3 linked regions of the Elephas maximus indicus genome follow. The protein of the gene in region 1 purifies or fractionates together with the protein of each later gene. This does not show direct contact. Links are inferred from orthologs where the notes say so. Each region holds a gene or a part of one and is shown in the gene's direction. Other genes may lie near its edges.

Region 1 (7,334 bases):
GGTGCAGCTCTGCTCCGTCTCTGCTCACCCTTCTCGAGGACACTGGAGCCCCCATGGCGGGCAGGGCCTGCGCCCCCTCGCAGCCCCCCGCTCCTCCGGGGCGCCCCCACCCTGCGGGGGACACGTGCCAAGGCCGCCACCTCGGCCCCCTCCCGAGCCTGGGCTGGGCCCCGGACTCCCGGCAGCCTGTCGCTCCGCGCTCGGTCCCCGCTCGGTCCCCGCTCACCTGGCTCGCCTTGTAGAACTGCTTCTTCAGCCCCGCTACCGACATGCTGCCTCCCGCCGTCGGGCCTCCCGCCCGGACAGAGCGACCTGGACGGACCGACCGCCTAATCGACAAGTTCCCGGGCGCCACCGACCCCCGCGCGCCTCAGCGGCCCCTCCGGCGCCGCCTCAGCCGCTTTCTCTCCAGCTCCGCGCCTGCCGCTGCGCCGCCTCAGCCCTCGCGCGCCCGCGCGGCCAGGATATTACATGGCAACCGCACACTTCCGGCGCCGGCCCCCGCTCCCCCCGGCCTCTTCTGCGCACGCTCGCCCCCTGTCGGCCGGGGAGCGCACGCGCGTTTGGGCAGCCTTGGGAAGAGGCCGCCCACACCAGCGAGTGGCCCAGTGCGAGCCTAGAGGGGACGTCGCAGCTGCAGCTTCCCCTGCAGTCCCGGAGGTGTCCCTCAATTCCTAGGATAGGCACTGAAACCTTGGAAGTGGGGAGAGGGGGTGTTTGAGAAGTTAATCCCTGGTGGTGTAACGGTCAAAGTCTAGGCTGTTAACTGGAAAGGTTGGCAGTTTGAACCCACCCAGCAGCTCCGCGGAAGAAAGGCCTGGCGATTTTCTTCCTAAAGATTACAGCCTAGAAAACCCTGTGGGGTAGTTCTACTCTGTCACATGCCGTCACTAGGAGTTGAAATTGACCATAGCGTGCAACAACAACCTCGGCTATTCCCAATTCCTCTGTGTGTTTAGCCCCTCCCCCCACCCTGCTCTGTGTTCATCCATTCATTTGCCTAAGTCAGACATCTGTGTTTAGCGTCTACCTCCTTTCCACCATCCCCACTGCCCTTCTTGCCCTGGCCCAGACCATTCCACCAGCCTCCTTGCTGGTGTCCCCACCTTAAAATCATTCCCCACAAGGCAGCCATAAAGATGCTTCTATAACACAATTTAGATCGCATCATTCCCCCGTTTAAAATCCACCTACTGCCCTCAAGATATATTCCAAACTTCTTACTCCATCTGCAAAACTTGAATAATCTGGCCTCACCAACCTTTCTGACCTCAACTCTCTTCCTGTTCCATAATCAATGATCCCAGATGCCTATGGGCCTTTGCTAAGATTGTTTTTCTTTTGCATATTCTTCACCAGTCTTTCCCCCGTCCTTTGTGCATAAAAGGAAACCTTGGTGGTGTAGTGGTAAGTGTGACGGTTGCTAACCAGGAGGTCAGCAGTTCAAATCCATCAGGGACTCCCTGGAAACTTTATGGGGCAGTTCTACCCTGTCCTATAGGGTTACTATGATTGAAAGTGACTCAATGGTAGCGGATTTTTGTGCATAAAAGAGGACGCAGCTTGGCATGGCACCTCCTCCAGGACCCCTTCCCAGATCTGACACATGTTTGTTGATATTGTTTTTATCAATTGTTGTTGGTAAAATTTTTGTTGAATGAATTGGACATGAATAATGAATGGGAACGACCAAATGAATCAGAAAGAGACCCAAGAAAGTGATTAGAGCTAAAGGGCTTGTGATTTCTATGCTTAAATCTCTGAAAGGTGTGAGTGCTTTCCTGAAGGAAGAAGATTGCTAGGCATTTCCAAATACCTCAATTGAAGACATGTTATAATGCGGTAAATACAGGGTAGCTTTGCTAACTGCCTTATGTTTATACCCTTATGTTATGGACTGTATTGTGTCCCAAAAAAATGTGTGTCAACTTGACTAGGCCATGATTCCCAGTATTGTGTGACTGTCCACCATTTCGTGATTTGATGTTATTATCCTATGTGCTGTAAATCGTAACCTCTATAATGTTAATGAGGCAGGATTAGAGGTAATTCTGTTAATGAGGCAGTAATCAATCTATAGGATTAGGTTGTATTTTGAGTCAATCCCTTTTGAGCTATAAAAGAGAGAATGGAGCAGAGAGGGGAGGGACCTCCTACCACCAATCAACAGGAGGGGGACATGTCCTTTTGGGCCCGGCTCTCTGCAATGAGAAGCTCCTAAAACAGGGGAAGATTGATTACAAAGACTTTCCCCCAGAGTCAACAGAGAAAGAAAACCTTCCCCTGGAGCTGGCACCCTGAATTCAGACTTGAGAGAATAAATTTCTCTTTGTTAAAGCCATCTGCTTGTGGTATTTTTGTTATAGCAGCACTAGATAACTAAGACAATTTACCACCGTGATTCTCAACCAGACGTGATTCGCTACCCTCCCAGGAGACGCTTGGCAGTGTCTAGAGACATTTTTGGTAGTTACAACTCGGGAGGGGGGGTGTGCTATTGGCATTTAGTGGGTAGAACCCAGGGATGCTGCTCAACATCCTGCAATCCATAGGCCCCCTCCCCAAGCATGATCTGCCCCCCAATGTAAACAGTCCTGAGGTGGAGAAACCCGGCACTACCATGACATGTATCATCAAATGGCGGAAGAGCCTGCTGATGGGCCTATCTCCTGGAGGCATGGGACAAAGGTTTTATTCAGCATTGTAGTAGCACCTTGCCTGATGACAATCAATATTTGTTGAATAAATTAATGAATTTTTTTCCAGCATCTGGAGGGGACCTGACACACAGAGAGTACACAATGAGAGTTTATCGAAAGGATTAGAGATGAATTGGAAAGAATAGCAAGAATGTGATTAGGGACAAAGTACTTGGAACTTCTATGCCGAAATCTCCTAGATTTAGGTGATTTTCTGAATGCGGAAGGTTGTTAGAAGTTTCCAAATGGCTCAATAGAGATGCTGGACTAGATTAGTCAGAAGGTTGCTTCAGAATCTCCAGGAGTTTTTTCAGTACTGGCTTCACTCCCAAGATCCTTATGCACTAGGTGGTGCTGTTATGAATAGTTTGAGAAACCTCCCATGTGATTCTGACATACACCCTCAGCTGTGACCCACTGGTCTAAATCATCACAGAATGCCAGAATGTTAGAGACGGGACGGAAAACATCCTCATGATCCAGATGGAGAAACCTGAGTCATGTGACATGACCTGACTGAAATGATATTCCCCAATTTCCTATTTCTCAATGCTCCTCTCTCAACAAGTTCTACCGATTTAATTATCCAATCTACTGCAATAAACTTCCAAACTCAGGCTAAATTTCCCATCTTTCCTCACCCCTGTTTCTCTCAAACATTAAATGAGTGCTGAAGCAAACCTATTTCTAAGAATTGCAGGTTGACACTGAGGATCTCTACTGAGCGTCTCCTCTGTGTGAGGCTTTTAACCTGCGTGATCTCCACAGGTCAATCAAATGATATTTATTCAATCAGATATTTATTGAGCACCTACTATGTATGTAGAAGTCCTGGGGTAGCGGTGGTTAAGCTCTTAGGCTGCTAACTGAAAGGTGGGAGAAATATTTGGCAGTCTGCTTCTGTAAAGATTTATAGCCTTGGAAATCCTAAATTGGAAAATTAAATAAAAATTTTTTTTTTTTAGTAGACACTTAGAATCTCTAAGTGCTTAAAAAAAAAAAAAAGTGTTGTAGATGCCTGATCTGGTTGGGGGTGGAGAGGGAAAGTCTTCTCTGAGGTGTTACCTGAGATCTGAAGGTTAGGTACAAATTAGAAAGAGCTGCGGAAAGAGGGTTTTAGGCAGAGAAAACAGCATGTCCCGAGAATTTAACCCGAAACTTGCATTTCATTCGCTCCGAATATATTTACTACATGTCAAAGCCCTCTGAAGCGCTGCCCAGTTTTTATTTTATTGCTCATTAACAAGTAATTTGTAATATTAATTGCTGTTGGGTATTAAACTCAAAACTTCAGATCGTCTTCTAAACCGCAGTTTTTCAAGCTGTCACCCGGCGTCTTACGTGACACGTTCGCGTCATGACGTTAAGCCTGGCCCTCCCTCCCCCCTGCCGACTTATCCCACGCACTTCAGCCAATCACAGTGCTTATCTCTAAGCTTGACACCTTCCTTCGCCAATCGCAGGGCATGTTCTCTCAGCCAATGACAGGCTGCCGAGAGAAAGTTCCCCCGCCCGCGGGAATATCAATAGACGAGCCATGGGAGGAATGGAGGCAACGGCTCTCGCGAGGATGTTCCCGGCGCTCCCCTCTTCCCGAGACGGGCTATCACGTGACGCGCCCTCGCCCAATCGGCGCGCGTTCTGCGGGGGTCGCCGCGGTTCCCGCCAAATACGAGCGCGGCGGCCGCGGCAGCAGCGGCGCGGGCGGGAGGGCGAGCAGCAGCGGCCGCCTGAGGGGAGCCCGCGCCTCCGCCGCCTCCCCCGCCTGAGGAGGGATCGAGCCGCCGCCGGAGCGATGCTGGAGGAGCCGGAGTGCGGGGCGCCGGGCGCCAGGGGAGCCGCCGCAGGTGGTCGGACCGGGTCCGGGTCCGGGTCCGGGCCCGGGGGAAGGGGGGGGCGCGGCGCGCGGCCTGTGAGGGCCGAGGCGGCGGCTGGGGGCTCCGGGCCTCCGGGCTCCGGGCCTGCTCCTCCGCGCCGGGCGCTCAGCCCGTGGGGCCGGCCGTTATAATCCCGACCAAGGGCCTTGTGACCCGCAGGGCGCCCTGCTTGACGTTATTGTTGCGGCCGCGACCATGTTTTTCCGGCGCTTTTGCGTCAGTTCGTCTTTCCAGGGCTCTGGGGGGGTGACCGGTCCAAGTGGGGAAACTGAGGCCCAGGGAGGCAAAAAGGCCGGCTTTTGGAAGTTACCGAGTGCTTATGGGGCCCCTGAGCCTTGCAGCGACCTTCTGGTCGGGTGGGGAAACTGAGGCCCGAGACCACACGTCTGCGGGTCAGGGCAAGTCCAGGTAAGAGGGCAGGGTGGTGGGGAGTGTCAGAGAGCTGAGATCCCCGCGGTGCTGATCTTGCCTGCTATGCAAAATGATGAGCTGCCTTCTCCCCCCACCCCGTATTTGTCGAAGGGTCTTTCTGTCTGGCACACAGCGGGCCCCCCAAAACGTGGGGTGAACCACGGAAGACCAGACTGCCCGCCTCTCCCACCGCTCAACTCCCCATTGGGTCCCAGCACCTGGCACAATGCTTGGCACATAGTAGGCGCCCGATAAATTTGTGTTGGTTGAATGAATTAAGGGATGGGAGGGACGCCAACTAGTCTAGTCCAGGGCTTCTCAACCTCGGCACTGCTGATATGAGGGCCGGATCATTCTCTGGGGTGGGGATGCGCTGTGCACTGTGGGGTGTTGAGCAGCATTCCTGGCCTTCACCCACTCCATGATATAGCAGCTCCCCGTTGTGACGACCACACGTCCCCGGGCATTGCCAAGAGTCCTCTGAGGGCAGAATCACCCTGGGTGAGAACCCCTGAACTAGATGTTAGTGACAAAAAGTGCTTGGTTAATATTGGTGAAATTTAACTGTATATATAGCACAGGGTTTCTCCACCTGGACCCTGACATTTGAACAGCATCCCCAGCCTCCACCAATTCAATACCAGTAGCACCCCCTTAAGTTGTGACAACCACAAGTGTCTCCAGACAACATCATCAGTGTCTCCTGGGGCACAGAATCACCCCTCCCTTCCCCTATTTCCTTAGACCAGGCCCATATTTATATTTTGGGTCAGATAACTTTTTGTCGTAGGGGGCTGTCCTGTGCATTCTAGGGTTTTGAGTAGCATCCCTGGCCTGCACCCACTCAGTGCCAGTAGCATCCCCCCCAAGTTGCGACAACCACAAATGCCTCCAGATGTTGTCAAGTGTACCCTGGACTGCATTATTCCCACCCACCCACCCCCGTTCTAGAAGTTTCCAGACTCTGGGGAGTTCACAGAGATGTAAAATTAATATAAAGTAGTTATGGAGCTGTGGTCATTTTATTTCACCAATTGAGGGTGTTAAAAAAGAAAAAATACCACCACCTTCTGTGACCATAGCATCAGAAAAGGATGCTTTAACACCAAATAAAATTAGGAAGGATGTAATCTCAGAATAAAGAACAGCTGACAGCTTTATACACCAGTGTATGTTGACTGTGTGTGTGCCTTGGAGCTCCCTGGATCCCTGGATGGGTCCCTCTTGTTGTCAACCTCAGGTTGCTTTTGGGCCCAGGTCTCTCTGCTCCGTTTGCATCAAAGCTGGTGACTCAGGGCCATGCAAATAAATCCTGTGGTTGTCCTGAAAATAAATTTAAGTGGCTAAAGATTGCGTGTCCTTCACTTGAGAGGGGAAAAAAAAGTCCATGTTTTTTTTGTAACTGAGAACATGAAGATGGTAATGCCTTCATTCCCTTGAAATGGGCAGATAGGAAGTGTGAACCTTCTGGTACCTTCTCTTACTCTCCACGCTTTGCAGGGGCAGGGGGAAGGAGTTTCATCTGTGGACAGCTGAGTTTTTTTAGAAAGCCCCAGTAGTCTCCCTTTAAAAAATATTCACTATTATGTATCTTTTACAAAATGTATGTAGATTGGCCAAAATAACTAGATTTTTCCTAGCCAGGTCTTCTACCAGGTGTGAGCTTCTAAACTTACTCTAACTATTTAAAGTTACTTACCCAAAAGCTTGGTTCTATTCATGGTCATTTCTGCATCAGTTTTGATATTATTAGTTGCTTTTCTTGAGAACTTTTTTGATACAGGAAATTGTTCTTTCAAATTATTTCTTGGCAACATTTTAGCTTCTACCTCATACGCTCAAAGTGCTCTAAACTAAAAAGAAAGTGAACCCAATCTAATTTTACGGGTTTGTAGGGAGTGAGAGGAGGATGTTTTAGGGTCGTTTGTTTTCGGTTGCAGTTGAGTAGATTCTGACTGATGGCGACATCACGTTAACAGTAAAATTGTTAATACAGTATTTTATCTCCACTTTCACCCACTCCACTTTTCTCTATGCCTGTTACTCTATTCGTTGACTTCCTACTATGCCAGTCCCTGAGCCAGGTGCTATAGGTACAGTGTGGATCAAGCCTTCTCAATGTCATGGCTATGACATTCTTGTGGTGGGAGACATCATGAACGCAAACGGTTCAGTACCGCAGGAAGACAGAGGAAGATATGATAGTGTCTAGGGCAGGGTTTCTCCACCTTGACGCTGCCAATTTTCGGCGGGATCGTTCTCTTGGGTGGGGCCGTCCTGTGTACTGTAGGTATTGAGCAGCATCCCTGGTCTCCACCAACTCAATGCTAGTAGCACCTACCCGTGA
Region 2 (7,030 bases), about 25 Mb from region 1:
CAGACCCTCCCAGATGGAAATCTGATATTCAGCATAAAGCACAGGTTAGACACAAGGAGCTATTACTATCATTTAGGGGATGATGGGAACCTTCCTGAAATCCAAAATCCCAGATGCCAGCCAAGGGCCAACCTTGTAAGCAGGCGTTTCTAAAGATAGCAGTCTCAGGCCTGCTATGTTCTCTTTTTGCACATACACCATTGATATAAAATTGTAAAATATGAAAAACAATACTATATATTGCTTAAAGACACATGAATATGAAGATGTAAGAACATTCACACACACAAAAAAAAACACCAAATTCAGTAGTGCTGTTACATTTGAGAAAAAGAGAAAGGAATGGATATCAGGCAGGAGTATATACCAAAAAACCAAACCCATTGCTGTCGAGTTGATTCTGACTCATAGCGACCCTATAGGACAGAGCAGAAATGCCTCATAGGGTTTCCAAGGAGCAGCTGGTGGATTCAAACTGCTGACCAAATTTTGGTTAGCAGCCAAGCTCTTAACCACTGCAGCACCAGGGCTCTAATTCTTGGGCTGGATAGTGGGTAAAAGGGTGTTTTGTTATAGTATTTCTTAAACTTTTTGTGTCTGTGTGCATACAACTGAAATATTACATAAGAATATAATACAGGCCTTTTTTTTTTTTTTACTGAGTAGTGGTTAAGCATTTGGCTGCTAAACAAAAGGTCACCAGCTCGAACCCACCAGCCACTCCTCGGGAGAAAGATGTGGCAGGCTGCTTCCGTAAAGATTAAAGCCTAGGAAACCCTATGGGGCAGTTCTACTCTGTGCTATAGGGTCGCCATGAGTTAGAACTGACTCTACGGCAGCAGGTACGTACTACTAACAGCTCATGTTGATTGCTTTTCACATTCCAGGTGCTATGCTAAGCCCTTTAAGTGGTATTATTCTTTTTAAAAGATCTACTGAAGACTTTCCACATGCCAGGCCCTGTGCTAAGTTCTGGAAATATAACCTTGAGAAAGCCAGGTGAGATCCTTGCCCTCAAAACTCCCTCAAATAGCTTTAAACCCACTGAGATGACAAATAAGCACAATTTTAAAACCAACACAGTTGTAGGTTCTGATAAGTGCTACTAAGATAATAAAACAGGTTGATATGATTAAGGAAGTGCTACTGTCAATAGGGTGGTCTGGAAAGGTTCCTCGAAGAAAGACATTTGAGCTGAAACATAAATGATGGGAATGAGACAGTCACGCAATTATCTGGGGGCAGCACATTCCAGGCAGAGGAAACAGCAAGTGCAAAGCCCTGAGGCAGGAATAAGCTTGGTGAATTAAAAGAACAGCAATAAAGCCAGCATGGCTTGAGAATGGTGGCAAAAAGGGAAGTGGTAGATTAGGTCCCAGAGGTCAGCTAAGGCCACCATGCAGGGCCTCCTAAGGAACTTCGGCAACCTTCCTAAGCCATAGTGAAGACTTTAGGATTCATCCTAGGTATGATGAGCCTTTGAAGAGTTTAAGCAGGGGAATGACATGATCTGATTTATATTTGAAGATCACTCGGACGGCTGTATGGAGAACTCGTCACAGACAGGACCATTTTCTCTACTAGCACCACAGACAGAAAATGCTTGTGGCCGCTGAGCTTTTCAGGAGCTATGAAAACAATGGGGTGGGGATAAAGGGGGAAAAACTTCCACAGAGAAAAAACAAAACTGCAAAGTTGAAATCAATAAATGTTTAACTAAATGTTTATTTAGAAAACTTAACATCATAGCAACTTCATGCATTGATAATTTAGTATTTGCAAAAAATCAATCACACTTGGAAATCATTTGGAAATTAGATTCTTCTCAAGTCACAGAAATTCCCAAGTATGCCCAGCATTTGCCAGATCAAGCCAATTATAAATGTCAATTTTCTTGCAGGCAAGTAATATCAAAAGAAAAAAATAACTTCCCATTTTTTTTAATGGAAAAAAATTTTTTTTCTTAATGTATATACCAAAAAAAAAAAAAAATATATATGCCTCACACCATGAAGCCTTAAGATTCTGAGGAGAACCCAGAGGTGGCCAGGTAAGAGATGCTGGAGGCTTAGATCAGTGCTGTTAAGGTTTATAGAGTAGCAGAGGCTTACATCCCATCCTAGATGGCCCAGAATACCAAAGGAGTAAGTTTGAACACTGTCCAGGGGACCATTGGAAAGGCTTCTCTGAGGAAAGCGCATTTGAAGCAAGAAGCCTGAGTGAAAAGGCACTAGCTGGGCCAAGAGTTGGGAAAAGAGGTTCCAGGCAGGGGCTCTGAGCTATCAGTTTTTTAAGCAACAAAAAAGGGGTCTGTTTGGCTGGACTGAAGCTGGAGATGAGTAGGTAATAGGAAACAAAGCATGTAGGGTCTTGATAACAATGTTCTCAGTCCAGAACTGTAGAAAACCACTCCCGTTTCAAGCAGGGGCGTGACCTGATCCAACTGTTTTAGGTTTGCACTATCCAATAGTACAGGAGTCTTTTTCCACAGGTGGCAAATTCAACTGCAAACTGAACTTTCAATTTTATTTAATTTAAAAATTAAAACTCCGAAATACAATTCAGCTAATGGAAAACTTTTACGCATGTTTGGAACAACTTCGACACACGAATCTACTTCTCCAACTGTAAACTGTATGAAACCTAAAGGCAGAATAACTATTTCCGATGAAAATTTAGGGTCCCAGTTACAGATGTGCTGTACCTGTGAAACACACACAGGCTGTCAAAGCCTTAGTACTGAGTAAAAATACGTAAGTTATCTCCTTCGTATTTTTATAATCATATGTGGCAGTAATATTTTGGCTATATGGGATTAGACTTGACACGTTATTAAAATTAATTTCACTTTTTTTCTATTTTTTTAATGTGGATACTAGAAAATGTAAAATTAGGTATGTGGCTTGCGTTACTTTTCCACTGGACAATACTGGTCGCCGAGACAGAGTGGTTGCAGAAGTTCTTGGGTGCTCCAGGCAGGAGGCGTCGGTGGTCCAGACCACGGATGGAGGTGAAGTTTCTGCAAGTATTGTGGAGTCACGAGTCATGTCAGTGAATTTTCACAGCCCGTTTAATGGACGAGGAAATGGGAGTGGCAGAGCTCGGACTCGAACCCACGTCTATCAGACGCTTCGCGCTTGAGGGGTATTATCTACTTGAAACCTCCCAGCGGCCCTCGAGATGCCGACAGTGGGATTCGAACCAGGCCCCAGTCCTGAAGCCAGGCCAAGCGTAGCGCGTTACTGCCACTCCGTCTCCCCACGGCTGAGCCCAACGTTCACAACGTTCATAACGGACTCCCTGGCCGCCTGACCTGAGTAGCCAGGAACTCCTGAGTGACGCTCCCGGTAACGCTCACCCGCTGACAGACGCCGAGGCCGCAAACGCTCTTTTCTCTTCAGACTCGACGCAGTCGCGCAGGCGCCCGACTCCCCCCACCCATTCCGCGAATCCCAGTTGTGCTAGCTCTCCTCCAGCCCCCGCGGTCAACTCAGCCAATCGCCTATCACTAAACCTGCTTTATTCCCACCCACTCCCGCCCGCCAATCACCGCTGACGCAAGCACCGCCCTTCCCGCCCTCTTCAGCGTGCGCCGCGCGCCCCCGTTCGGCCGTTGGCGGCGCTGCCCCGTGGGATGCGTGCCCCGGAAGGGCGGGGCGAAGCGCGCGCCACGCTGGTGCGGGAACCCTTGGGATTGGCCAGGAGGAGGCCCTGCTCTTTCTCCGCCCACTCTCGCCCTCTGCATCCGAGTCGGAGACACTGGGGATTGGCTCCCAGGTGGGGATGGGGGCCCAAAGAAGCATGGAGACGTTCCCGTCCCTCTCGCGCTCACCGGGGAGGGAGCACCCCTGATTGGTCCGGGAGTCTCGGCGCGCGCCCGCCGGCGCTCCAGGATTGGCTGAAGACGGGCTCGCGCCGCCGGGGAGCGTTGGCGGTGATTGGCCGGGGGGTGGGGTGGCTATTTGAAGGCGGCGCGCGGACGAGGTGCGCATTTCAGTCCGCGTAGAGAGGAGTCGGGAGCGGCTCTTGGAACCCTGCCTCCTAACCCACCGGACGCAGGCCCTAGGTTGGCCCCGGCCCGGCCTCAGCCCTGGTACCAGCCCCGGCCCGGCGAGGCGATGGCCAAAGTATCGGTGCTGAACGTGGCGGTGCTGGAGAACCCGACCCCTTTCCACAGCCCCTTCCGGTTCGAGATCAGCTTCGAGTGCAATGAGGCCTTGGCGGACGGTGAGGCTGGGCCTGTGTGGAGACACCTCCCCCCCTCCCCCCACGGCCAACCCCGACTTACCCTCGAGACATTCCCACGGTCAACCCCGACCTCCTCGTGGAGACACCTCTCAGCCCCCATCAACCTCGACCTCCCCATGGAGACCACCCCAATGCCAACCCTAATCTCCCCGAGATCCTCCTGACACAACCAACCCTGACTTCCGGTGGCCAACTCGGACCTCCCTGTGAAAACACCCTCCCATCCCGTCAACCTCTACCTCCCCATGGAAACCCCCTAGTGTCAAACCTAATCTCCCCCTGAGGCCCCCCAGTGCCAACCCTAACCTCCCCCGTGACCCCCCCAGTGCCAATCCTGACCTGCCCCTGAGACTCCCCACACACAGCCAACCCTGACCACCCCGTGGAGACCCCTCCTTCCATGGCCAACCCCACTCTCCCACTTTCCTGTGGAAACATCATCCCTTTTTTTTTTTTTTTTTTTGGTAGAGCTCCTCCCAGCTACCCGTTTAAGTAGGGACCTTCTCAGCCTCCATTCTTCCCTATGGCAAGACGCATTCCAAGTGACCCTCCGTTTCTGGAAGGCCAGACCCCCCCTTCCAGCCACCCAATGGGATGAGGCTGCCACTCATCCCCACTCCCCTGTGGCCAGACACTCCCAACTCATTTTTATCCTGTAGAGACCTCAGCCACCTGTCATTTTTTCTGTGGAGACCTCTCCTCCAAACACCCCTTCTTTTTCCCTGTGGAGACCTCCCCCTAAAGTCACCTTCCTTTTTCCCTGTTAAGACTTTCCTGTCACATGATCTTACTCCATCTCCCCTAACAATCCCCTCCCCAACTTGCTTATATTTAAACATCTTTCCCACCTTGCCTCCCAACTTCTGCTTGCTCTCCACCCCAAAGCATACACTCTAGAACTTGGCTTTTCTCCTCCTCAGTCTGATCCCCTACACTTGAGCTCCATCTAGGGAGGGATGGCCTGGCTTCTCCCTCTAGACTTGGAGGGTAACTTGGTCCTCCCAAGTTCCTGTTTCTCCCTCCTCTCTGCTAATCAGCTTGGATAAACACCTGCCAATCTGAGGGGTGGTGTAGCCAGGCAAGTGTGAGCCAGTTCCCAGGGTTTGCCCACCAGGTTCCAGCTGACTTACTGCAGCAATTCTTCCAATGCGTTTGATGGTTTGACCTAGTCTGAGGAGTGGGTGGGACAGGCTGAGCTGAGACAGCATCTGGCTTCAAATAATCAGCTAGGAGGTCACAACCTTTTGTGCATCTTTTCCAAGGTGCTTTCATGAATGTACTTACAAGTCTGTGTGACATAAAGGAGGTAGACATGGCTCTCATCTCAGATGAGAAAGCAGGCACCACAAAGAGTAAAAGACCTTTCAAGAAGAGGTCTATAAAAATCTAAAACTAAATGGCTAAGGTCACCCAGGGAGCTTTGGCACAGCTGACAGGCAAGTCCTGCTTTCAGGAGGAAGTAATCAGCTAGACCACCTCTCCACTTGGCCATTAAAGGAGAAGGGGCAGCAACTGAGGTGAGGCTGGCGCGCTAACTAGCGCCTCTCAGTGGCAGATGTGTGGTTTGCTCACAGAGCCTGCTGCTTGGATTGCTTGCGGCTGATACAGTTTGAAGGATGTGTGGCCTACAGGTGAGCCAGTGGTCACTCTCCCCCTGTGTCTCACACTCTTTTTTTAAATTAAGGAGTCCATTTGTGACTAAGTATAGAGTAAGCCAAGTTAAATCCTTGCTAGAACAAGTCTGGGTGTAAATAAATAAATAAAGTGTAGAATGACACTGTGGAATAAGATTTAATTTTAAAGCCAGGAAGAGATGTAAGGAGCTAATAGGTTAAGGGATTCACAGTTCCCAGATGGCAGGAGATCAGGTTGCAATCAGCCTGTTTGTACTTCTTGAATTAAAAATGGTTGCATGGCCATTATTTAGTACTATTATTCCTGGAAGTCCGTGCCCGGTGACTTTAGTAATTTGTTTATAGTATTGGGACAGGAAAGGTTAAAGTTAGCCTGCAGTGTTTTCCTTTTTAATAGAGGGAAGTGGAGTGACTTCTCCAAGGTCACACAGCCAGTTTATAGAAATGTTGGGATGAAAACTTGTTGCTGAGGTCTGAGTCTGGTTTCATTGTCTTTGCTCTTATCCTAGTAGGCGAAAGAAAGAAAGCATTTCCTACTTTAGAGGCGGAGTTTAAATAGGAAACCAAAAAAACCCATTGCTGTGGAGTTGATTCCAACTCAAAGCTACCCTATAGGACAGAGTAAGACTGTCCCACAGAGTTTTCAAGGCTGTAAATCTTTAACCGAAGTAGACTGCCCCTTCTTCCTCCCGTGGAGCAAGCTGGTGGTTTCCAACCATAGACCTTTTGGTTAGCAGCTGAGCTCTTAGCTACTGTGCCACCAGGGCTGCTTATAAATAGGAGGGACCATACAATTTATTGCCAAATCAGGACATTCAAAAGAGAGTAAAAGGGGCGCTATTCTTAATTATGCCAGATAGTAGAGCTTTTGCTCAGAGAAACTCAAGTTGGGAATCAAACCCTGGCCTGGGAATCCAGACTCTATGGTTCTACCTCCTATGGCTGTTGGTGACTCTGACATGCCAGCTTGCTTTCTGCCTCTTCCTGGCCTTCTTCCCACAAAGCAGAATCCGTTTCCTGCCTTCCAAACAGATGGAGTGGGGCTGCCTTAAAAGTCTCTCTGGTCCTGGAGAAACCTCAGTCTTTTTACCTCTCTGTGCTGCCAACTGAAATCTGACAAGGCACCCAACCCCCGGTCAGTTAGCCAA
Region 3 (7,899 bases), about 180 Mb from region 1:
CATTCCCTCCCCTCACCCTGCACAATACACTCTGGAAAACTGAAAGAATCTAACTAATGGAGATAAATTTCAACCAGACCAAAGCAAAGACTTCCCTTCTCTCATCATACATTACAGAGCACCACATGTGTGGGGATAGTATATCAGGTGCTGGGGGGACAAAGATGATTAAGACAGTATCTCAGCTTTTAGTTGATCACAAGCCAGCAGAGGAAGCAAAGATGTACACAGATAACTCACACGCGGAATAAACCAAGGCGATAGAAGCACAGGGCAGGAGTTAATTCTGTAAGGGGTGAGGGGCAATTTAAGACAATGATTCTTAAACTCTAGTCCCAGGACCAGTAGCATACGCATCACCTGGAAAAACGATACATAAATTCTCAGACCTTATGCAAATCAAAACTAGAACAAGATACCATCTCACCCGGACACTACTGGCACAAACCAGAAAATAACTAATGTTGGAGAGGCTGTGGGGAGATTGGAACTCTTATGCACTTCTGGTGGGAATGCCAAATGGTACTACCATTTTGGAAAATAATATTGCACTTCCTTAAAAAACTAGACATAGAAATACTATACAATCCAGCAATCCCACTTTTAGGAATATACCCTAGAGAAATAAGAACCATCAAATGAAGAGACATGTGCACACCCATATTCACTGCAGCATTATTTACAATAGCAAAAAGATGGAAACAACCTAAGTGTTCATCAACAGATGAATGGATAAACAAACTATGGTACATACACACAATGGAATACTATGCAACAATAAAGAACAATGATGATTCTGAAACATCTCACAACACGGAGGAATCTGGAAGGCATATGCTGAGCGAAATAAGTCAATCACAAAAGGACAAATACTGTATGAGACCACTACTATAAAAATCTATGAAAAGGTTTACACATAGAAAGAAACAATCTTTGATGGTTACGAGGGAGGGTAGGGGTGGGAAGGGAAAAACACTAACTAGACAACAGGTAAGTGATAACTTTGGCGAAGAGTAAGACAGTACACAATACTGGGAAAGTCAGCACAACTTGATCAAGGTGAGGTCATAGGAGCTTCACAGACACATCCAAACTCCCAGAGGGAGCAAATTACTGGGCTGAGGGCTAGAGACCATGATCTCAGGGGACATCTAGCTCAATTGGCATAACAATTTATAAAGAAAATGTTCTACATTGTAACACACTTTATCAGCTATACCCAGTCCTCTCACATTCCAGCAATTACGTAGGCCTGCCCTTCCTGGCACTCTTGTGGTTGTTGTTGTTCTTAGGTACTGTTGAGTCACTTCCGACCTGTAGCGACCCACAGAACAAAACACTGCCTGGACCTGCGCCATCTTCACAATCATTGTTATGCTTGAGCCCATTGTTGCAGCTGCTGTGTCAGTCCACCTTGTTGAGGGTCTTTCTGTTTTTCCCTGGCCCCCTACTTTACCAAGCATGATGTCCTTCTCCAGGGACTTATCCCTCCTGGTAACATGTCCAAAGTACATGAGATGTAGCCTCGCCATCCTTGCTTCTAAGGAGAATTCTGGTTGTACTTCTTCCGAGATAGATTTGGTCATTCTTTTCCCAGGCCATGGTATATTCAGCATTCTTCACCAACACCACAATTCAAAGGCGTCAGTTCTTCTTTGCTCTTCCTTATTCATTGTTCAGCTTTCGCATGCATTTGGGGCAATTGAAAACACCATGGCTTAACTCAGGCGCACCTTAGTCTTCAGTGTGACATCTTTGCTTTTCAACACTCTAAAGAGGTCTTTTGCAGCAGATTTTTCCAGTGCAATAATGCGTCTTTTGATTTCTTGACTGCTGCTTCCATGAATGTTGATTGTGATTCCATGAATGTTGAATGTTGATTGTGGATCCAAGTAAAATGAAGTCCTTGACAACTTCAGCATTTTCTTTGTTTATCATGATGTTGCTTATTGGTCAAGTTGTAGGTGGTTTTGTTTTCTTAATGTTGAGGCATAATCCATGCTGAAGGCTGGGGTCTTCCATCTTCATCAGTAAGTGCTTCAAGTCCTCTTCACTTTTAGCAAGCAAGGTTGTGTCATCTGCATAACACAGGTTGTTAATGCATCTTTCTCCAGATTATTTGCTCAGCATACAGATTGAATAGGTATGGTGAAAAGATACGACCCTGACGCACAACTTTCCTGACTTTAAACCACACAGTATCACCGTGTTCTGTTCGAACGACTGCCTCTTGATCTGTCCACAGGTTCCTTATAAGCAAAACTAAGTGTTCTGGAATTCCCAGTTTGTCGTCCTGTGGGGGCTTGCATGTTGCTGTGATGCTGGAAGCTATGCCACCAGTATTCAAATACCAGCAGGGTCACCCATGGTGGACAGGATTCAGCTGAACTTCCAGACTAGGACAGACTAGGAAAAAGGACCCAGTGGTCTACCTCTGAAAACAATTAGCCAATGAAAACCTCATGAATAGCAGCAGAATATTGTCTGATATAGTGCTGGAAGACGAACCCTCCAGGTTGGAAAGCACTCAAAAGACAATTTGGGAAGAGCTGCATCCTCAAAGTAGAGTGGATCCTGATGATGTAGATGGAGTCAAGCTTTTGGGACCTTCATTTGCTAATGTGGCATGACTCAAAATGAGAAGAACAGCTGCAAACATCTATTAATAATTTGAAGATGGAATGTACGAATTATGAATCTAGGAAAACTGGAAAACATCAAAAATGAAATGGAACACATAAACATCGATATCCTAGGCATTAGTGAGCTGAAATGAACTGGTATTGGCCATTTTGAATCAGACAATCATATGATCTACTATACCAGGAATGGCAACTTGAAGAGGAATGGCATTGCATTCATTGTCTCTTGTGACTGGGTGGGGCCTTATGACTAGTTGGAGCCAATGAGTTGTAAATGAAAGTGATCTAAGTTACTTTAATTGCCATGTGAGGCCGTTGGTAACTCTCTCTCTTTGGCTTAGCTACACATCAGCCTGGGTCCCTGAGTGGCTACCATGAGCTGAGTTCCACAATATAACCTAGCCTATCCTGATACAAATATTATTTTACACACATCAAGTTCTTAAAAATTAAGTAGACAAATTAGATAGCAGACAAGACCTATTTTAGGTGAAGGAAAAGACAACACACAGGAGAGGTCAGCACAACTGAACTAAACCGAAAGCAAAGAAGTTTCCTGAATACAACAGAACACTTCAAAGGCCAGAGTAGCAGGGACAGGGATCTGGGAACCATGGTTTCAGAGGACATCTAGGTCAGGTGGCAGAACAAAATGTATTAAGAAAACACTCTGCATCCCACTTTGGTAAGTGGCGTCTGGGGTCTTAAATGCTGGCAAGCAGCCATGTAAGATGCATCAATGGGTCTCAACCCACCTGGAGCAAAGGAGAATAAAGAATACCAAAGATGCAAGGTAAATAAGAACCCAAGAGATAAAAAGGGCCACATAAACCAGAGACTCCATCAGCCTGAGATCAGAAGAACTAGATGGTGCCCAGCTATGACAGATAACTGCCCTGACAGGGAACACAACAGAGAATCCATGCTGGAGCAGAAGAAAAGTGGGATACAGACTTCAATTTCTCATAAAAAGACCTGAGTTAACGGTCTGACTGAGACTAGAGGGACCCCAGAGGCCATGGTCCCCAGACCTTTTGTTAGCCCAAGACTGGAACCATTCCTGAAGCCAACGCTTCAGACTGGGATTGGACTGGACTGTAAGCCAGAAAATGATACTGGTGAGGAGTGAGCTTCTTGGCTCAAGTAGACACATGAGGCTAAGTGGGCAGCTCTTGTCTGGAGGGGAGGTGAGAAGGCAGAGGGGCACAGGAGCTGGTTGAATGGACACTGGGAATACAGGGTGGAGAGGAAGAGTGCACTGTCTCATTAGCGGGAGAACAGCTAGGAGTACACAGCAACGTGTGTATGTTTTTGTATGAGAGACTCACTTGATTTGTAAAGCACAATTAAAAAAAATTAAGTAGAGAGTTAACATTCAGTTCTAATGAGAGTGGGGGGAAACAGGTACTTTCAAAAATTTGTTAGTAGAAGTATAAATTGTTACAACCTTTTGAAAAGTAATTTGACAAAAGATTCCTTTAAAATGAAAAATGTGCAAATCTTTTCACTCAGAGATAACGGTTTTGGGGAATTTATCCCACAGAAATAGAAGCTCTGGTGGCGTACAGGTTAAGGCAATCGACTAAGCGACAGCTCCGCCGTTTGAAGCCACCAGCGGTTCTGTGAGAGAAAGAAGTGGCAGTTGGCTTCCGCGTAGACAGCCTTGGAAACCCTATGGGGTTGCTATGAGTCCGTTTGATGGAAATGGGTATTATGCAGTTGTCAAAAAGACAAGTTTTATCTCTTTCATTGACTTCAAGCAATAGCCACACATTAAATGAAAACAAAAAATCCATATGCATGAAAGTTCATGTATAAGCCTAGAGAAAAAAGTTGTCTTATATCAAAGGAGCAGAGGTAGTAAATAAGGGGAGGGGAAATGATTATCACGTTTTTCTTATTACATCTGGATATCCTTTGATTTGTATGATTTACGTAATAAAATCAAGTAAAAGTAACAAATAATACCGAAACCTAAGATTGTTTGTCTACTGAGTCTTTACACAATAACCGTAGAATCACTGGCACCAGTGGAGGGTGGTGGGAGTGAAGGGTGGTAGAAGAGGCGGGGCTTCTTTAATACACTCCTGGCCACGCCTACTTTATCCGGCCACGGATTCTCACGTGTGCTCCGAAAGGCTCTGCCTTGACGCATGCGTAGTCGCCTAAGTCAGTCTCAGCCTCTTAGGGGCGCCCCGCGGCTTTGAATTTGACCCCATTAGGCTACCGTCGCGGTGACCGGAACGGCGCCTAAGGTTTGCTTCCGGGCGTCCCCTTTCCTCCCTCACGTTTCCTCCCCCTCCCCTGTTCTTCATTCCCTTCGTTTTCGTTCTTTCCTCTTCCCGTCCAGGCCGACCTGAGAGTGGTGAGTCTGGGGTCTGGTTGGTGAAAAAGAGCTTTTGCAGCTGGGAGCGGGGAGGTAGGGAATACTGTTAGTTGAGGTATCTAGGGACCAAAGGCTTGTCTGGAATGTTTTGTTTGTAGAAGGAGGTTGGGCGAAAGTAGGAAGGAAGTTTTCCCCGAGAGGCGACCGGGGGCGGGGTCGAGATGGGCCTATGGGTGGATGGGACGCCCCCTCTAAATTGGGTAGCTTGGGGGAGGGAGGGTCGGACGGGTGTGGTAAAAAAATGGAGGCACTGGGAACTGGCGTTGAGGTCGCACGGCTTATCTGACATCAGTCTTGTTTCTACCGTTTGATCGGAAAAACAGTTTAACGCCAATGTGAGTTTTTTGGATTGTGAACTTAAGATAGCCACATTTTATTCCCAAATTAATTTACTTCCTTTTACTTTAGGGGTACCTCTTTTTGCTGCAAGCTTTTGTGTGCTTAAGACTTTTTTTGTGGCGTTACAGACAGCGATCACATTTAGAAAGTAAATTTTCACACCGAAGCGAAGTAATATAAGGGAGACAAGTAGTTAAAAGAGAAAACACCGCAAAGTGCGTTACAGAGCAAAGCCCCCTCCCCAGGTGGGGATATTTGTTCAAATTAGGGATAAGATGTAGGCATAGATCTATCTCATTAGTCGATTAAGAAACCAATTGGCTCACAGAAATTATTTTCCTATGTAGATTGATTCTCTTCAGTTTGCTAAAACATTTTCATTGGTTCTCCACTGCATAAGAATCAGGTAAAACTTCTTAAGCCTTGCAAGGCATTCTAATTTGGCTCCAATTTAGCTTTTCAGTTTATCTCACCACTACCTGTGTTTTACCCAAAACATCCAAAGTTCTTGAAATACTCTCATAGTTTTCCCCCACCTGGAATGTCCCCCAACTGAATTTTCAAGTTCTGTTTCAAGTATCCTATAACAACCAGCTTGCAAAATTATGTTAGAAGCCTTGTAAAAAAGAACAACATAAATGTAACCAGTTCCTAACTTCTGGTAACACACTGACGTGAAATGCACGTACAGAATAGAATTTTTTACAGACGCTAGAAAATAAGCATTATTATGTCATATGTGAATTGTAAGGTAAGATGCCTATGTAGCCTATGGGACTGTGTTTTCCACGCTTTTCAATCTGAAATCTTATTCAGGCCTGTTAGTGTATAGCATAGGCTGAGAACTCTACGAAATCTCAGCATCAAATTCTGGAGAATGGGGAAAGAGAACATAGAATCAAATTTAAATAGCAGGTAACAGAGTAGGAATGAGTTTTATTAGGGGAGTGAAATTTCCTACTGATTGTAGTTACAATGACCCCAAGGGTAATTCTGTTCTATTCAGAGGACATCAGCATGTCCTCCATTCCTGAGTGCGTCGGTTTGGAGGCAGCAACTGCTGCAGTGGAGTCTGAAGAGATTGCAGAGCTGCAGCAGGCTGTGGTTGAGGAGCTAGGCATCTCTATGGAGGAACTTCGGCAGTTCATTGATGAAGAACTGGAAAAGATGGACTGCGTACAGCAGCGCAAGAAGCAGCTAGCAGAATTGGAGACCTGGGTAATACAGAAGGAATCTGAGGTGGCCCATGTTGATCAGCTCTTTGATGATGCATCCAGGTGAGGACTATACAGAAACTAAAAGGAAATCTCTTCATTGCAGGCATTTTTAATGTATAATTGGTCACGACATCGTGCAAAGCACTTTGTACTTTATAAAGTACAAATGTGTAGGACCCTATTCTTCCTCATAGTTTATGGTTCAGAATCAGACTTCACAACCACCATACATAGACTACCCATTTATCAGAGCTTCACATGTGATCAGCAGTAGGGGAGTCCATGTCTTGAGTCCCTTTTCTCTTTCCCCATTCTACTTCATAATCCTACTTTGTTTCCCTAATAAAATCATTTAGGGAATCAAAATCGTAAAGAGTTACTTGCTGTCTTATGTAGTTGTAGAGCATTAATAAACTTGAAAAACCCTATATCTGCTCCTAAACCCCCAGAAGATTTGTTTATGGTGCCCTAGTTGTTACCTAAAACACATTTTCAAATAACAATAAGCTAATTAATGAGGTACGGTTGAAAGGACTATGCTCTGGGCTTATTTTGGATATTTGAGGAACTAGTCTGGAAACCAGACCACCATTTAAAACATTTTTCTATGGGAAAAGCATGTTAAATTCTAAACAGCAGAATTTACAATTATATAGCGTATGGTTTAAATTGAGGACAGTCTACACTTATATATAAATTTTAATGGTTCCTTCACCTACTTCGGAAACTCTGGTGGCGTAGTAGTTAAGTGCTATGGTTGCTAACCAAAAGGTCGGCAGTTCGAATCTGCCAGCCGCTCTTTGGAAACTTTATGGGGTAGTTCTATTCTGTCCTATAGGATCGCTATGAGTCGGAATCGACTGAACAGCAGTGGGTTTGGTTTTGGTTTTTTTTTTTTTTGACACCTACTTCATCTGCTGGTTTTGACCTTCTTTTCCACATGTGTTCCAATTAGGGCAGTGACTAATTGTGAGTCTTTGGTGAAGGACTTCTACTCCAAGCTGGGACTACAATACCGGGAAAGTAGCTCTGAGGATGAAGCTTCTCGGCCTACAGAAATAATCGAGATTCCTGATGAAGATGATGATGTACTCAGTATTGATTCAGGTAAGGGATAAGGCTTTGGATAGAAAAGTCTCGAACTGGAAGATGAGCAGATGGAAGATAAGAAAGGGGAAACCAGAGTCACCAACTTGATATTTTGAACTGCCTGACCTATTAGTATCATAGATGTCCCCTCTTTGTTACTCCTCAGTTGGCATCAACCTTCTTTCCCAATTCTTTGTAACCTCTGTTCTGAATTCCCTTGCGTTTC

Evidence for each region.
Region 2: the proteins of CHAF1A (region 1) and ASF1B purify together in Homo sapiens (co-immunoprecipitation; 7 studies listed by BioGRID and IntAct, counting the BioPlex papers as one, with this or other methods). This does not show direct contact. The link is inferred for Elephas maximus indicus from reciprocal best matches to the Homo sapiens genes CHAF1A and ASF1B.
Region 3: the proteins of CHAF1A (region 1) and SETDB1 purify together in Homo sapiens (affinity purification with western blotting; 3 studies listed by BioGRID and IntAct, with this or other methods). This does not show direct contact. The link is inferred for Elephas maximus indicus from reciprocal best matches to the Homo sapiens genes CHAF1A and SETDB1.

Annotation. Positions count from the first base shown.
Region 1 is NC_064821.1:7,418,603-7,425,936, forward strand, and holds the start of CHAF1A (chromatin assembly factor 1 subunit A), read left to right. Parts: upstream 1-4,258; 5' UTR 4,259-4,269; coding exon 4,270-4,546; intron 4,547-7,334. Other genes in the region: SH3GL1 (endophilin-A2), read right to left, coding at 227-271. UniProt on the Homo sapiens protein: Acts as a component of the histone chaperone complex chromatin assembly factor 1 (CAF-1), which assembles histone octamers onto DNA during replication and repair.
Region 2 is NC_064821.1:32,773,271-32,780,300, reverse strand, and holds the start of ASF1B (histone chaperone ASF1B), read left to right. Parts: upstream 1-3,937; 5' UTR 3,938-4,118; coding exon 4,119-4,227; intron 4,228-7,030. UniProt on the Homo sapiens protein: Histone chaperone that facilitates histone deposition and histone exchange and removal during nucleosome assembly and disassembly. Cooperates with chromatin assembly factor 1 (CAF-1) to promote replication-dependent chromatin assembly.
Region 3 is NC_064821.1:184,996,200-185,004,098, forward strand, and holds the start of SETDB1 (histone-lysine N-methyltransferase SETDB1), read left to right. Parts: upstream 1-4,810; 5' UTR 4,811-4,897; intron 4,898-4,903; exon of another isoform or gene 4,904-5,007; intron 5,008-5,264; exon of another isoform or gene 5,265-5,363; intron 5,364-6,373; 5' UTR 6,374-6,384; coding exon 6,385-6,644; intron 6,645-7,539; coding exon 7,540-7,691; intron 7,692-7,899. UniProt on the Homo sapiens protein: Histone methyltransferase that specifically trimethylates 'Lys-9' of histone H3. H3 'Lys-9' trimethylation represents a specific tag for epigenetic transcriptional repression by recruiting HP1 (CBX1, CBX3 and/or CBX5) proteins to methylated histones.